Linked DNA regions of Arabidopsis thaliana. The protein of the gene in region 1 interacts with the protein of each later gene in a pairwise test. Each region holds a gene or a part of one and is shown in the gene's direction. Other genes may lie near its edges. The genes, in order: ALC, PAR1, MEE8 and MAF1.

What was found.
Region 2: the proteins of ALC (region 1) and PAR1 interact in a two-hybrid assay, tested with the Arabidopsis thaliana proteins (one large-scale study listed by BioGRID).
Region 3: the proteins of ALC (region 1) and MEE8 interact in a two-hybrid assay, tested with the Arabidopsis thaliana proteins (one large-scale study listed by BioGRID).
Region 4: the proteins of ALC (region 1) and MAF1 interact in a two-hybrid assay, tested with the Arabidopsis thaliana proteins (one large-scale study listed by BioGRID).

What each region holds. Positions count from the first base shown.
Region 1 is NC_003076.8:26,784,600-26,788,280, reverse strand, and holds ALC (basic helix-loop-helix (bHLH) DNA-binding superfamily protein), read left to right. Parts: upstream 1-1,849; 5' UTR 1,850-1,942; coding exon 1,943-2,179; exon of another isoform or gene 2,180-2,291; coding exon 2,292-2,363; exon of another isoform or gene 2,364-2,453; coding exon 2,454-2,519; coding exon of another isoform or gene 2,520-2,597; coding exon 2,598-2,663; exon of another isoform or gene 2,664-2,757; coding exon 2,758-2,949; 3' UTR 2,950-3,175; downstream 3,176-3,681. Other genes in the region: AT5G67120 (RING/U-box superfamily protein), read left to right, coding at 191-451; ICU2 (DNA-directed DNA polymerase), read right to left, coding at 3,177-3,317, 3,405-3,479, 3,550-3,669. UniProt on the Arabidopsis thaliana protein: Required for the dehiscence of fruit, especially for the separation of the valve cells from the replum. Promotes the differentiation of a strip of labile nonlignified cells sandwiched between layers of lignified cells.
Region 2 is NC_003071.7:17,835,874-17,839,233, reverse strand, and holds PAR1 (phy rapidly regulated 1), read left to right. Parts: upstream 1-1,615; 5' UTR 1,616-2,046; coding exon 2,047-2,403; 3' UTR 2,404-2,818; downstream 2,819-3,360. UniProt on the Arabidopsis thaliana protein: Atypical bHLH transcription factor that acts as a negative regulator of a variety of shade avoidance syndrome (SAS) responses, including seedling elongation and photosynthetic pigment accumulation.
Region 3 is NC_003070.9:8,873,602-8,876,384, reverse strand, and holds MEE8 (basic helix-loop-helix (bHLH) DNA-binding family protein), read left to right. Parts: upstream 1-1,550; coding exon 1,551-1,778; intron 1,779-1,865; coding exon 1,866-1,931; intron 1,932-2,020; coding exon 2,021-2,080; intron 2,081-2,177; coding exon 2,178-2,261; downstream 2,262-2,783. UniProt on the Arabidopsis thaliana protein: Required during early embryo development, for the endosperm formation.
Region 4 is NC_003070.9:28,953,940-28,960,657, forward strand, and holds MAF1 (K-box region and MADS-box transcription factor family protein), read left to right. Parts: upstream 1-1,582; 5' UTR 1,583-1,739; coding exon 1,740-1,924; exon of another isoform or gene 1,925-4,371; coding exon of another isoform or gene 4,372-4,394; coding exon 4,395-4,452; intron 4,453-4,516; coding exon of another isoform or gene 4,517-4,562; intron 4,563-4,662; coding exon 4,663-4,905; intron 4,906-5,013; coding exon 5,014-5,055; coding exon of another isoform or gene 5,056-5,115; exon of another isoform or gene 5,116-5,211; coding exon of another isoform or gene 5,212-5,223; exon of another isoform or gene 5,224-5,390; coding exon 5,391-5,432; coding exon of another isoform or gene 5,433-5,474; exon of another isoform or gene 5,475-5,638; coding exon of another isoform or gene 5,639-5,671; exon of another isoform or gene 5,672-5,804; coding exon 5,805-5,906; 3' UTR 5,907-6,172; downstream 6,173-6,718. Other genes in the region: AT1G77090 (thylakoid lumenal protein (Mog1/PsbP/DUF1795-like photosystem II reaction center PsbP family protein)), read right to left, coding at 6,637-6,701. UniProt on the Arabidopsis thaliana protein: Probable transcription factor involved in the negative regulation of flowering time in both long and short days, probably through the photoperiodic and vernalization pathways. Prevents premature flowering.

The sequences.
Region 1 (3,681 bases):
CCAGTATTGGTTAACTAGTCGGTTGCATGTGTAGTTTTCAAAGAAGTGCATTTGAATCCTAGATGTAGAAGAGATTAGGACTCTCTTTAATAAAAATTATATGTACCATTTTGGTTTCTTGATTCTAGAGTTGTATAAGCTGCAGAGTTTAGATATCGATAATTTTATGAATGAATCTTTTTTTTTCTAGGAATTATTGAGCATCACTGACGAAACAGGAGATGAACGCACTGGTTTAAGCGAGGAAGTGATTGATGAGAATCTAATAAGAAGGAAATATGAAAAGCGTAGCGACGATGAAACGAAGAGATGTGTGATCTGTCAGCAGAAATTGAAGGACAATGAAGAAGTTTCGAAACTGGGATGTGGGCATGACTTTCACTTCGGATGCATCAAGAATTGGCTAATGGTCACGAACAAGTGTCCTCTTTGCAACCGAGAAGTCGTTTAAATGTTTTATCAAGTTTGAAAGATTCCGTTTATCTCGTTGGATTTCAGTTTTTTTGTTTCTTTCTTTTGCTATGAACCATAATTACCAATATTTCCCTTTTTATCAAGTTAGAAAGATTCCATTTATTTAGATGGCAAGTTGGATTTTGATTTGATTTCTGATTTTGATTATTATCATCTATATATATATTTTTGCAGCCACTTTGTGAAATAAATTCTGGAGTTGGGATTTATTTACAGCGGCTGTCATTGGCATTTAATAATTGTTTTTGATAATTAGAAAGAAAATCTTCTAATTAAATATTTGACATTTAACAATCTTTCCAAAATCTCTCTACCTTAACTACACGATTAATTACTAAAATAAAACTTCTAAAATATTTAATATCATTTAATTACTACAAAATTATCATTTTTGATATTGCTTTTCTGCATGATTATAATCATCAAACCGTAGAGATATTTGATAACATTTAATTACTACAAAATTACAAAATATTTAGACAATAATTCATAAACATATCATAAATAAGATCACATTCATAAAATAAATGAGTTTTTTTAGAGGACGGGTTGGCGGGACGGGTTTGGCAGGACGTTACTTAATAACAATTGTAAACTATACAATAAAAATATTTTATAGATAGATACAATTTACAAACTTTTATATATATTAATTTAAAAAATAAATTGTTTTCGCGGTATACCGCGGGTTAAAATCTAGTTATTCTTATTTTTGCTATGAACCATAATTATTTTAATTACTATATTATATATATTTCCCTTTGGATGCATTAAAAAAAGGCTAATGATCAAGGACATGTTATCGTCTTTGTATTGACCATTATAATATCTGAATTTTATTTTGTGTTAAATAATCTCTCGAATAAATAATCTTTCGAAATGCATGCAGTTTTATTCACACTTTATCTGTGGACAACAACAACAACAAAAAAGAAGGAAAAAATAGATTTTTGTAATTTGTCAAAAATGGTGAAACTGTTGCGAGACCTTACTTTTCAAGTAATTGTCCATTTTCATGTTTAGTCATAATAATAATTAAATAGTCTATCAATGCTCTATCTTATCAATACTCTTATTTTTTCAACCGTTTCATTTACTGATTTTCATAATTTCATCCCCTCCTCTCAATTTAACTTATCACATTGAAAAAAACAATAAAAATGTATGTTTTTTATTTACTTGGTGGTCCAAAAATGCTTTTTTCCTTTTTTTTATTAGGTAAAAAATATAATATTATTAAATAAAATTGCTACAAAAGGAAACTGTTCACACACAGAGTGATGTGAGACACCAGATTCTGTCTATAGGGATTCGACACGCCACTCGCCTCTTTTAGAACCTCCACGCGCTTCTCTGAAGAACGTGATCTCACGCGTCCTACCTCCCCCGCCTATAAGCTTTACTACGAAAAAGCCACAGTGATAATTTTTACACACAGAGTAGAGCAGAGAGAGAGAGAGAGAGAGAGATGGGTGATTCTGACGTCGGTGATCGTCTTCCCCCTCCATCTTCTTCCGACGAACTCTCGAGCTTTCTCCGACAGATTCTTTCCCGTACTCCTACAGCTCAACCTTCTTCACCACCGAAGAGTACTAATGTTTCCTCCGCTGAGACCTTCTTCCCTTCCGTTTCCGGCGGAGCTGTTTCTTCCGTCGGTTATGGAGTCTCTGAAACTGGCCAAGACAAATATGCTTTCGAACACAAGGTATAAACTTAACTATTCTTAGCTGCAGAGATGCTTCACTTGGCTTTCCTTGTAAAAGAAAACAAAAACCAAAATTAGTCTCTTTTCTTTTTGGAATGGCTAAACACTAAAGAGAAGTGGAGCTAAACAGAGAAATTCGTTGAAGAGAAACATTGATGCTCAATTCCACAACTTGTCTGAAAAGGTTTTCTCTTTTATCTTCCTTTTAAGATTCTTAATTTAGAAAGAAGAAGAACCTTGAGATTGTAGTTGATTAGAATCTGAGTGTTAGCAGAAGAGGAGGAGCAAGATCAACGAGAAAATGAAAGCTTTGCAGAAACTCATTCCCAATTCCAACAAGGTTAATCAATCTTTGTTCGAATCAGAGATAGTGAGAAACATTGTTCTGATTGATCCGTTATCTTTTGTTTGTTTATAGACTGATAAAGCCTCAATGCTTGATGAAGCTATAGAATATCTGAAGCAGCTTCAACTTCAAGTCCAGGTTTTTTTCCTACTTACTATGATTATATACGTTCAAAGTCTGATTTGTAAATTACATCACTCAGATCATTAACTTGATTTACTGCATGATGCAGACTTTAGCCGTTATGAATGGTTTAGGCTTAAACCCTATGCGATTACCACAGGTTCCACCTCCAACTCATACAAGGATCAATGAGACCTTAGAGCAAGACCTGAACCTAGAGACTCTTCTCGCTGCTCCTCACTCGCTGGAACCAGCTAAAACAAGTCAAGGAATGTGCTTTTCCACAGCCACTCTGCTTTGAAGATAACATTCAGACAATGATGATGATCGGAATTCCTCTAGTACCTGCCAGACAGGAGTGAACAATGTTTTGAGTTTTAGCATTGGCCAGATTTCTATGTTCAGTTATAGTTATGCTAATAAGCTTTAGGAGTGAACAAAATCTGAGTAGTTTGATTATAATGATGTCTGAAGCAGATTATATATAAAAGACTAATTTACTTACATATGAGATGATTATTACAACTATCAAATGACTATGTCTGTGAGTTGCATCCATCCATAAGCACACCGGTCTCTACTACTTCGAGTGATTGCTGCTGCTGACTTAACCGCAGGTCTTATCTTCGTCATTGCTTTCTCTACTTGAATTCTCACGCCAACATCCATCTGTTATTTCAAATGGTACCGATAACTTTAGGGATATAGACAAGACAAATTGATATTAATAATATAACAAGGTTGTAAAGTAGAAACCTTTTCTAAAGAGCATTGTGTGTCTAAGATGTGGCAGAAGTATGACAGTTGCTTGTACAAGTCTGCTTCAGTGTACTGTAAAGTCAAGAGTTAGTCTGTGAAGCAATAGAGAGATAGGAGTTATAAGGTTGATGATGGTATATACCTTTCGTAAGAGGGTTCCGTTACAGTTAGGATAGTTTGGGCAAACTGTCCCCCGTTCACGTTCACCGAGTAGACGAAAGTTGGGGGAGCGGGTTGTGTGCTTGCATGACTCGTCTTCACACTGTTGAAGGCA
Region 2 (3,360 bases), on another chromosome or scaffold:
CTCCTTCGTCCCCTCTTTGGAAACATCATCTCTTTCTTTATTTCTCTCTTCCATCTTCTTCTTCTTCTAAAACAACATCTTAACAATTTTTAGTATTACTAAAAACCCTAGACGTAAAAGAAATGTGTTATTCTGTTCCTGATCTTTGTCTTAATTAAGACCATACATTATTTCTTTTAATTAGATGTCAATCATTATTCTTTACTAAATTTTTTTTCTTGAGTAGATTTAGGTTAATTTGCAATCTTGGATTAAAGACCTACAAAAATGCAATTGTTTTTTTTTAATGCAATTATTTTTTATTAAGTCTTTATCTAGTTTTTATATCATATAGTTGACAAAAGAAATGCACCGGAGGGCTCATTTATGGAACCAACATTAAGTAAGATTTACTATAACGGTTTTATGTATAAAAGATGTATATTATAAAGATCTCTAGCTAGAAACATGTAACACTATATTCGAATCCAATAACACTAAACTTCCTTGGCTTTCTTCTTGTTATATAGTGGCCATTTCTCTAACATTATAGATATATTGAGATTGTTGTTTTTACGTGGTAAGAAATATGGGATGTTAATTGGAGTTTCTTTTAATAAGAAAAAGGAGTTGACAAAAAAAAAATGAAGGACAGATTTAGGAGGTCACTGAGGTGGGGGGGACCCAAAAAAGGGTTGACACGTGGCCACCATGCCCGATAGATATCATGTGGATCTTAGTAGGATTAGGTCCTCAATTGTACGAACAAGTTCACTATCTCTTAGAGGATCTATTTGATCTCATCCATCTAATAATAATACTATATTACAGTCTGTACATAATGTATAGAGAGGAGGAAGCACATGGGAATGGGGCTTTGAAGATGGAGATATTCATGTGACCCGCACATGTCCTCTCCTCTCTCTTCCTTGTTCCCATGCAAGTAGTGTCTCACTGTATCCTTCTTCTTTTCCTTCCTTATCTCCACGCGCGTGGTCGTTTTCATTTCGTCCGTACTACGTAATTACGACAAAACTTACTCTTATACCATCAGGCATTAGTCCATTACCAGGCACCACCCGAATGGCCTATAAGCATAAGTGCATAACTATAGGGTTTGTCGTCGTCTACTTGAATTTTTCTTTTGGAAATTTAAGCTCACATAAAATAGTTTATACTCTTTATTCTTGTTGTAGAAAATAAGACTGGTAACTATGCAAAACAACGTATAGCAGCTATTACATTTATGGCTAAACCAGATCACAAACCATTTAGAGTTTAAATTAAAGTTCGAATAATATTTTAGCAAGTAATCCGGCTTGATAAATAAATGAGACACTTGCTAAAAGTAATCCGGCTTGTATTAACAACGCATATCCTAATACAATAATAAAGCATTGTTGTATAATTAGTTAATTACTATGTCAAACGTCTAGCTCTTAAACAAACAAATTTAACGTGCCAAATCTCATTTATCAAACAAACAAAAAAATCCAATCTAGATGCGAGGTTGATCCACTTAAGTGAGTGATGAGTCCACTAAAGTCTAAACCAGTCGACATGGCGCGTGAAAGCTCTTCTTCTAAAGATCCAAATCTGTGGAAGCAACCAAAGTAAGAGATAATTAAATAAATCTCCACAATCCGAAACACGAGGATAATAAAATTAAAAATAACGCACAACTGGACCCAGCTTTGATGGCAATACCGCTCATTTAACCATTTCCCAATTTCTAAATGTAGAATTTATTTTATATCGTTTCAATTTTTACATCGTTTTTTATAGACAAACCAAACCAAAATTCGTTCATAACCGAACCTTTCACTAATGTAAGCAAACAATGTAACATAAAGCATAGCAAACCAAATCAAACCGATAGAGTATTGTCTCTAAACTCGCAACAAACCAAAATAAAATCAGGTTGAACCGACCACATTTCAACATTTTTGTCTACTAAATCCATCATCACTCATATATATATATATAACACACACAGTTACACATATCCACATTCCTTACTTGTTCATTATTCTCTCAGACTCATCATTCATCTCTCTCTTTCTTTCAATGGAAGAAACTCTAGCCACTCCCGACGCCACGAGACGCTCTCTGTCACCGTCATGCTCAGCCACCGTGAAATCACGCGCCGCTGGTTTCGAGCGCAGAACCAAACGGAGATTGTCAGAGACTAACGCAAGCGTACGTGAAGACCGAGAAGAAGCAGAAGAAGAAGAAGATGAGGTCAAGGAAAAGATTGAGGCGTTGCAGAGGATTATCCCCGGAGGAGCGGCGCTTGGTGTGGACGCGCTCTTCGAAGAGACAGCTGGTTACATTCTGTCTCTACAATGTCAGATCAAAACCATTAAAGTCCTTACTTCGTTTCTTCAACGCATAGATCAAGAAGACATGAAGTTCGGAGGTTGAAGATTATCACACCAAGACTGCTCTTCTTTCTTCGATTCCTAAAAACAAAAAAAAACGTTTTTTTTTTTCAAATCTTTTATTTCCTTTTTTATAACATGGGATTTTAGCTTTGATATATGAGGAAAGAGACTCAACATTTTTTTCTTCGAATTTTTTTTTTCTTTAGTAGGAGTATAATCTTTAATTTTAATGTTCTGATTTATTTATTAAGCCGTTTCACGGTTATGAGAAGTGTTCATTAACGAAAATTAGCATTAATTAATGTAGTTATATAACTTATTTTAGTAGGACGCCATATAGTATAGATATTAAATTGGATCACGAGGTTTCACTTGCATATGAGATTTGACATTAATGATATTGAGAAAGTTAATGTTACGTGGCCCATTTTTAAATCTGGATGAGCTCATTTCACATGCTTTATTATAACAAAGATTTCCAAAGTCGGTCGATATTTATTTAAGCTTATGATGAACTTACTAGATTTGAGTTCCCGTGGTCCAACAATAGAGTTCATGTATATTCCTTGTACATACATATACAAGACAAATCTTTTTAGTCGTGTAAGTACTAGAGCTAGCATCTACACAGAAATTTAAACACATTTGCCGCTAGAAAAAAAACAATATCAGTTTTAGTATTCATTATAACGTAATTTCTGACCCACAACAATGCAGCTATATCGAACTCTATGGAACTATTTACTCCACACATAGCGGAAAGTCGGGGAAGATATAATTTTCTTACCAACCCTATCTACTCTCTATCCAAATTACATTACAAAGATGAATTTAAGGTTGAACATCGTATAGTACGAAGTTGTAATCAATAATGTTAACTTCAACATCCTTTACCAAACCAAAATTTAAAATAAAAACCATTGATAGATTATAACTAATCACATCCTGTATGGGCTAAAAGCCTAAAAGATTACGATTCCACATGTTTTTTGATTGC
Region 3 (2,783 bases), on another chromosome or scaffold:
TCATTTTGTTTACTATTTTTTATCAGTAAAAGCACTTTACATATATATAGTGTGCCCCAGTAAAAGAGATGGTGGATACATGGAGCAGCAAAATATGAGTATAGACCAGAAAAGATAATCAAAGCTAGGCTCTAACTTTGGCACGTTGAAAATAGGAGCGTGTGTTCGAGAAGTTAGCCGTTGCTGTGGAGCACTGGAGCGCATAGACTATCTAACATCATTACCAAACTACGCAATCCACATGTATTACGCAATAACATGATCTCACTTGGTCTTTGTGTTTTTTTTCTTTTTTCTTTCTCTATTGCAGTTTTCTTTAATATTTTCGAAACATCATGTTTATTAATCTTGGTTTCCATGGATGCATATTTTACCTAAATAGTGCAACGTTGTCAAAACCAATTGTTTGGATCGATGATATAACACTCATGTTTAGAAACTATTTACTTTTTTAATATATAAAACTTTGAATCTGAAGAGTCCTAAACTAAGACTAACAAAATAGAGGGACTCATGATCCAAAAGTTCTTGAAATCAATCTTACTTATCATTATATACGGGTAATAAATTTCTCAATCTGTAGAATATTATATCGATTGTGTAAATTTTAAACTATGAATTTTCATATTTCAAAAACAAAATAGCTCAATTTAACATTGTTTTCCATATCCCGAGATTATAAAGCATTTACGATCACCTGAGATATAAAAAACAAAAAATAGTTCATTTGTGAGTTATAAATATGTCACGTAAAATTGTTATAACCTCATGTTGTGTAACTTCTTAAAGAAACTACAAATTAATTTAAAAAATCATCCCAGAGATTTAGTTAAAGAAATTATTACCATGTCACCCATACATATAGACAAATAAGGCTGATGTCAAAACTTTAGTGCTAGATAAGATTTTAGAAAGTCTAAATCCCAACATACATGCTGAATGCTGACAAAGATCATGCCGCATGACAAACAAGGTTGCCGCATGATAAACAAGGTTGCCGCATGAACCGTTTTATAACCGGATATCTCCCTTAGCAACTCAAGGTTCTCTCTAAACCGGAAGGTACCATTCAGAAATATTGTAACTTACATCACTAGATTAATTAGATCATTCTCGAAAATATTTAAATATTTGTATTAAAGGTACGACGTAGAGTACTCCTAATGCATGTGGAGTTCTGAGTAAACGATTACAAGAGCCTCGTGACTTCGTAAGGTCCTAATATTGTCGTATTATGTGTGTATATATCCTGCATTCCAAAATCTCTAATTTTTTAAACCGTAGACTTAGGTCAAAAATGGACACGTTACATTTCTTGGCTATATCTATGAACCTTAGATGTCCACCTTACATAAATGTAATTTTATTTAAAGAATTAGTAACTTAGTGACGAAGAGTAGCTTTTTGAGCGGCAAACGTTGTTGTTTCTCGTCATGAGTAGTTTACATATATATCCTTTTCTCCCTGTATAAGTACCCTTGAAGCATGTCTGCGTTAAACTCAAATCAGCCAAACTTATCAGTAAAGAATCACTTAAAACTATCAAAAGAATGAACAAGGACGAAGTATTTCTTCGGCAATGGTTTGAGATACTATACTCGCTCACTAATCCAGAGGCGAATAGTGACTTGCGTAGGATCAACAACGAAAAAGGTGTAGAGAAAGTAGGGCAAAAGAGGTCAGCTGAGTCGAGGAGAGAAGGAAAGAAGAAGCGAGTTAAGACACAGTGCGTGATTAAATCTTCAGACAAATCTGATCATGATACCTTGTTGAAGAAGGTAACCAATAATAGTTGTATTGTTATGATACGTCTTCCCCAAGAAACTCTTGATTTACTCTTTTCTCTTCTTTGGATACCTTAGAAGAAACGGCGGGAACGTATAAGAAGGCAACTAGAAACACTTAAGGAAATTACACCCAACTGCCCACAGGTTCACAACTGCTTCCTTTGTTAACTGATTTTTTTTTCTTGGGAAATGTTAGTTTTGTTAATGTTTTTTTTTTCCGTATAATCTTACAGTCTGATATCAACGCCATCCTTGATTGCGTTATCGAGTACACGAACAACTTGCGCCTTGCAGTTCTTTTCGGAGGTAATTTTTTTTTATGGCCATACTCTGATCTGTTCGTTAAAGATTATTTATCTTTCTGGTTTTTAAATTTCTCTTCATTTCCAGCATTACAAGGGTTCGCAGGGAATATGTGACGACTGGAGACTGTTTACTGAAGCTGGTGCCGTTTTGTATTATATAGATACTTGATAAAAGTTTCGATTAGCTAAGTTTTCTTATTTTCTCAGTTGTTCTTTGTTGGTTTGTTATAATCAAATTGTATGTTTTTGGTTTAAATATTACGAGTTATGTTTTAGCCTCAGTTCTTCGTTTGTTTGTTATAATAAAATTGTATGTTTTTGGTTTAGATGTTACGAGTTATGTTTTAGCCATGAGACCATCTTTAATTAAATTCCGTTCGGAACTTAGTACTACTGGATCTTGCAAATTAAAAGTTAATGATTTGATCAGTCAATACTCGAACACTAGGCGCCTACTGTCCGCCATTTTCTTTTAATAAAAACCTTATGATATGTTTTGGTCTTCATGAAAAATTAATCTGTTAACAACCGGACCTAGTATCAGTGTATGATCCTTAAAACAAGTAATTCAATTTAAAAAATTAGGATAAGTGTTAGATGAATTGATCTTATATCTAAATATTTGTATGTGTTTATGATTAATTGAAAGTATTTAAAATACGGAAATTTCTGTTTTATATATTTTGGAAAA
Region 4 (6,718 bases), on another chromosome or scaffold:
TTTACTATCTCAACAAATTGGGCCTACAACATCCAATTTCATGTAGTGACTTGTTTTTGCCTTTTTCACATCTCAACAAATTGGGTCGTTTGTATTTAAGAAATTGTTACAGCTTTTTAGACTGAATTTTACTTTATGGCTTTATGCTCTCTTTTTCCGTTTTGATTAAGGGTGAATATGTAAACTGTTGATACCATCTGATTTTTTTTATTTTTTATTTTTCTTGTGTGCAACTATACCATCTGAATTCAATTGACATTTTAGCCAAATAAAAAAGATTGGTCCACTTGGATGGCTGTAAAAAAGTTTAGTGGAAGTATTTATAGGGCTTGTTGGCAATCTTCACCAACGGCTATAATGTTGATCTTTTTAAAATTAAACTTACCGTTCGACTGTCTTCTCAACGATTTGACAATTAGCCGTTAGATTAGTATTACTGATTTATTATTAACAAACCCATTTCTTTTCTTATTTTTGAATAAGCTAAATCAGGCCAATAAAAGGGACAAGTAGAGATGGGCTATTTCTTTTTTTCTCTTTTTTTTTTTCTTATGTAGTAGAGAAAAGCCTTTATTCTTAGAGCTATCATTTACCACCCATTAACCAGAAGCTGAGAAATGAAGCAAGCCGAAACGAATTTGTAGTTTTGGACGGTGAAATTATATCGGGCCTTTAATGGGCATGTGAATAGAGTTGAGAGTCTTTTTGCCCCAAATAATCGTTTAAGGGAGTATTGGCTCGTTGGTTTAATATTGGGCCGAAACGAGATTGGGAAGAAGAACAATGTCGGTTTAATCCGGTTAGGGTCGTGGGCTGATTCTGGTTCACCTTTATAGCGTAAGCGAACAAACATTGAAAATGGGGAAGCCAAATTAGTTACCATCCCTAACTCAGTTTTGAGACGTAGTATGAATGAGCCACGGCAGAACCTACGACCTAACTCGATAAAGTAATGGTTACTCTTGGAGACGGAAGAAAGCACAAAGATTTTGATAAGGCTTTCTAGTTGGTGAAATGGTCAAAATCGCTCGGAGAGCCATCATAGGAGCGGGGAGGTGCTATCTGAATATCCCAATGCATCAAGACAAGATGGATTCAGAAAACAAAGAAATTAAACAAACATTTTAAAATATGCTCTTAGTTTTAGATAATATAATGTTTTCAATACCAATTATCTTACACTGATAGTGGTCAAGTTACTAATCACTTTTAATAAATTGGTGATAGTCAAACGTATTGAAAATTATCGATTTAAAAATATTTGAATTCAAAACCATTTTAGTGAAAGTTTGCATTGTAGTTTTGATTATCCGATCAATCTTTAATATAATTACGTCAATAATAACTGAAATCCTTGAATTAACCGTTACCCGATTCATAAGCACTACTTTCCGATCAAAACCAATGAGATAAAATAACTTTTAAACCCTCCAAATAAAAAGAGAAAACCTTAAAAACCAATTTCTGTTCGGTGGGGATGATGATCGGACTCGGACCGGTCTAACCGACTGGATTAAAAAGTCTTTAACAACGACAAGCTTAAAAATTTGCCTCTTAGTGGCTTCAAAACGCAATCGTTTCGCTTAATACTATTATTTTCTCTATCTCGTTTAACCAAAAAAAAAAACGAGTTGGAGGAAAAAAAAAACCAAGAAAAAAGAATAAAAAGCAAAAAGCATTGAGCGTCTCCGGAGATTAGGATTAAATTAGGGCATAACCCTTATCGGAGATTTGAAGCCATGGGAAGAAGAAAAATCGAGATCAAGCGAATCGAGAACAAAAGCAGTCGACAAGTCACTTTCTCCAAACGACGCAATGGTCTCATCGACAAAGCTCGACAACTTTCGATTCTCTGTGAATCCTCCGTCGCTGTTGTCGTCGTATCTGCCTCCGGAAAACTCTATGACTCTTCCTCCGGTGACGAGTAAGAAGATACTTTCCTTTTCTGGGTCTCACTCGATTTTTGTGCTTTTTTACTTTGTTTAATTACTTTCTCCATATAGAAGCTTCAAATCTAGGGCTTTTTGATTCCATCAAATCAACTGAGATTTTCTCCTTGTTTTCTGTATGAAGATAGCAGATGCGTAAGCTTTAACCTAATTTAAGACTAAACATTTTGATCGCCAAGATATGTTCTTGATGTTCGTTTCGTGTTTTTTTTTTCGTGTTTTTTTTTTTTTCATTTTAAAATCATTTTTATCTCTTTTTTTACCTTCATTTGTGACGAAATTTAATATTGCATGTTATTCAAGAAACTTTTCTACACGTGGTGATTCGTTCTTGATGTTGTTTAAGTAATCTTTGTATTGCTAGTTCCATCTGTTGTTCACTTTGAAGCTTCGTTTTTTCATATAAGAAACAATATGTTTAGATTGTTCAAATTTTGAGATTTGGTAATTATATTCAATATTGCAATGCACTTCAAGTAGTTTTGTTGAGAGATTATTTGGGGTTAGTGGTAACATTAATCGAATATCTTTGGTTCAAATTGGTTAACACATTGTACTTTATGTTGATCCAAAATGTATTGTAGATCTTTTCTTTTGTAATTCTCTTTAAGGAATAAGGTTTATCTAGTTGATTTTGATGGTTTATTGTAGTGCTGGGATAAGTTTCCACATTGATACTCGCCACACATTCTTCATTACTTAACTAATTGGATATCGATTTTAACCCTTTTAATCGTAATTTGTTGTGTGTTTATGACACCATACAAGATACATTATGTCTTACTGAGTGACTCTTTGTTGCTCTCTAAGATGTTGTAGTTTGGATTTCTTTGCTAAAGAAACTCAAACTATAACTGATTTTACTGCTACCATATATATGTCAGTGGCCTAGTAGGTTCATTAAGTAGAAATCGGTCGCCAATTTTACTAATTGGGAGAAACCACTAGACTACAACCAAATGTTCAATGACTTTAATAGTCTTCTGTTATTTGTCGTGGATATTTTTAACCCCATGAACTTTTGTATCTAGAAAAATCTCATCCACTTCTCTTTTAGAATACTTTGAATGCGACTAAAAGTGAGTTTTTTTTTTCTAATAGACCTAAGATAAAATCATCAATGGATAAGTAGGAAATGGAAAGGTAACTCTTGTCAGTATGTGTATATATACAGCTCCTTCTCATTTCCTTGATGTTGACTCCATAAATGCTTGATCATGAAAGCAAATTTGTTAAATTTGTAACCAACAAAATGCACAGACTATAGACGAAGTATTAGGAACCGTATCTATCTGTCTCCATTTTACAATAGTCAAGCTCTAGTTGTAGCTAGTTTCTTTATTTAGTTCTTATACCTTAACAAAGTGGCACTATGCAAAGTGTTTTTAGTTGAGATTAGTCGTCTTATGCGTCTTACTAATTGTTCATTTTTTCTTCTTTTTGTGATTGATGTAAAATTACTAAGTCACAACTTGAGATGTTACTAAAAAGATAAGAACGTGTAATAACTGAAGTGAATTTGAAGCCAGTCTCTATTCATATCATAGCATTAATAGATCATGGACAACACATATATAGGATTAGAGCTGTCATGACCTTCCCGGAAATGCTAAATCAGTTTCTTGGTTTATCCTTTTTGGAGTATCATGATATCATTTAGCCAAAGGTTTTTGGTTTCAGTATTCCGATTCGTTTGACGTTATGTGTGAAAGCGTCAATAACTAAAACTTGGATTGACTAGTCAAAATATAAACTGATTGCATTGAATTCTTGAAAATTTTCCCTTAAAATGAACATGAATTTCATCAAGATTTTGTCTTTTGGAAGGATGTGATTTATAATCTATACAATCATACATTTTGCATGATATTAGTTTTTTGAAGAACCAAAAATAGAGCTTCTTTATAAAACTGATTTAGCCTTGATAAGAAAAAGAAGGTAGATAATCGAACTCATGGGGATGAGTTAAAAATGTGTGCACTTAGTTTCTAAAACCTTTTGAAGTCGAAACAATGACAATATTGGCTGCGAAGTTGATATATAACAGGATCTTAAAGTTGAAATTGTAAATTCAGATTTTAATTTTAGAGCACCAGATGATCAGAGTTTCAGATTTACATTTGAAGTATAAAACATTTTGAACACATATATCTAAAGCAGTAACTTCAAAAATAGGGTAACTAATAGTAACTTACATTGTTTTTTTTAATGCTTTTATACTTACTATCATTTTTATATATAGATGCCTGGTTAAGTAAAGATGATTATCAAAAACTGTTGGTTAGTAACAGAAATTGTTGCAAATGTAACATATTATATAAGCTTTCTTTCACTTTGGTGCATTCTCTCTAAATAATGGCCTCTATTGATGCAGTATCTGATTCTTAGTTTTGAAATGGTTTTTGCATAAATTATTGTTCTAATGCATTTTTGTTTTATCTCCAGCATTTCCAAGATCATTGATCGTTATGAAATACAACATGCTGATGAACTTAGAGCCTTAGTAAGTAATTAGCTAAGAACGTCATTCTAATATTCTTCTGGATGCGGTTTTTGGTGTTATGAAGGATAGAAGCGCTGTTCAAGCCGGAGAAACCTCAATGTTTTGAACTCGTAACACCGAACTTAATTCTCTAGAGTTACAGTTATTGTGTCTACTGGAAAATACAAGAACTTCACAATCTTTCTGACCATTCCTTTTCTTCATGTGCAGGATCTTGAAGAAAAAATTCAGAATTATCTTCCACACAAGGAGTTACTAGAAACAGTCCAAAGGTTAGCAGTACGACACATTTTTCTCCCCTCTTCTTCTGATAAAAAAAATGTTTTTTTTCTTTTGTCTACTTGTGAATACAGCAAGCTTGAAGAACCAAATGTCGATAATGTAAGTGTAGATTCTCTAATTTCTCTGGAGGAACAACTTGAGACTGCTCTGTCCGTAAGTAGAGCTAGGAAGGTATATGTGCTGCTACTAAGTGATTCAACCAATTACTCCACAAAACCTTCTTTTTAGTTAGTTATCCTAGAACAATCTTTTGACATAAATCTTAATGTCTTGTTATAGGCAGAACTGATGATGGAGTATATCGAGTCCCTTAAAGAAAAGGTTAGTGCTTTGGTTTTTATTTTCGATAAAGGCCATATTCTAGGCTATGATGATTCTTGAATTCTATTAACCTGCTGAGTCTACAGATTACTATATATATATATATATATCTTTTGGTCTTGTCTTAGTTCCTGATTTAGTATTGGCTTCATTCAGGTGAAACCCTAATGAGAATTAAAAAAACAAGCAGTTTTAAACTCTTGATCAAATCCAACCTTTCCCTCATAAAGTGTCGAATTTGGATGAGGATGATTTATGTTTCGAGAAGGAAACATGTTTGGAAATAGCTATAGAAGTTGTTAGAAACTAATGACCTTATGATCTTTTCCAAACAGGAGAAATTGCTGAGAGAAGAGAACCAGGTTCTGGCTAGCCAGGTAACAATGACCACAATATCTTCTGCTCTTGAAGCTAATTAATCACTTTATACGTCCCCGTTATAGAGAGATACACATATACACGTACATGAAAACTAAAAGTTGAAGGACTTTGATGGATACTAGACAATTATAGTGAAACCCTAAATATGTGATAAGTGATAACAAAATGCTTTTAAAATCTATCTTTCTTGTTAATTTAGTAGCTGTCAGAGAAGAAAGGTATGTCTCACCGATGAAAGATACTCAAAACCCGGTATTTTTAATTTGTGAAATTTGCAAATAAAAAAAATGCTTTCTACAAGATAGATTAATTTCTTGCAATGTTTAGTAGCTGTAGAAAAAAAAGAAATGTAAGAAAGTTTCTTACAGATGGGAAAGAATACGTTGCTGGCAACAGATGATGAGAGAGGAATGTTTCCGGGAAGTAGCTCCGGCAACAAAATACCGGAGACTCTCCCGCTGCTCAATTAGCCACCATCATCAACGGCTGAGTTTTCACCTTAAACTCAAAGCCTGATTCATAATTAAGAGAATAAATTTGTATATTATAAAAAGCTGTGTAATCTCAAACCTTTTATCTTCCTCTAGTGTGGAATTTAAGGTCAAAAAGAAAACGAGAAAGTATGGATCAGTGTTGTACCTCCTTCGGAGACAAGATCAGAGTTTGTGTGTTTGTGTCTGAATGTACGGATTGGATTTTTAAAGTTGTGCTTTCTTTCTTCAGCGTGAAGAACCCTAGACCTTCTTATTTCTTTTTTTTTTTACTTTTTTTTTTTATAACTTTAATTATTTGATTATTTGTCTTACATTACGTGGCAAAGTTATTTAGTTGCATCTCTTTTAATTTGATCAAAACCATATCAGATATTTTGCTCTTTTTTCCAAGTTTAGTGATTCTGTTTTTGAGAGCTCCAAACTATATAAGATATTTTTCACCTTTTCCAAGTTTTATTATTTGTGTTTTTGAAGAACTCAAAAAAGCCAGCTTTTGAACTCTGTTTCATGTTTTGGTTCTTTCTGATGAATCCAGATCCATACAACCGTATGCCAAACTCACTGCTCGTATGTTGTTTAGTATAATATTACAGGATTCTCAACTTTTTACAAATACACATTTATGTACCGCTCTTTGTGTTCTTAGTCTTGAGAAACACTTGAGTAACTTGTTGAAGATCTGATATATCCAAAAAAGTTCTAAAGTCTAAACAATGCGGAATGAACTAGCTATCCTCTTCAGATCCTTGTAGTGTCTCTTCCATTGAAGACCTATAGAATCAAACATA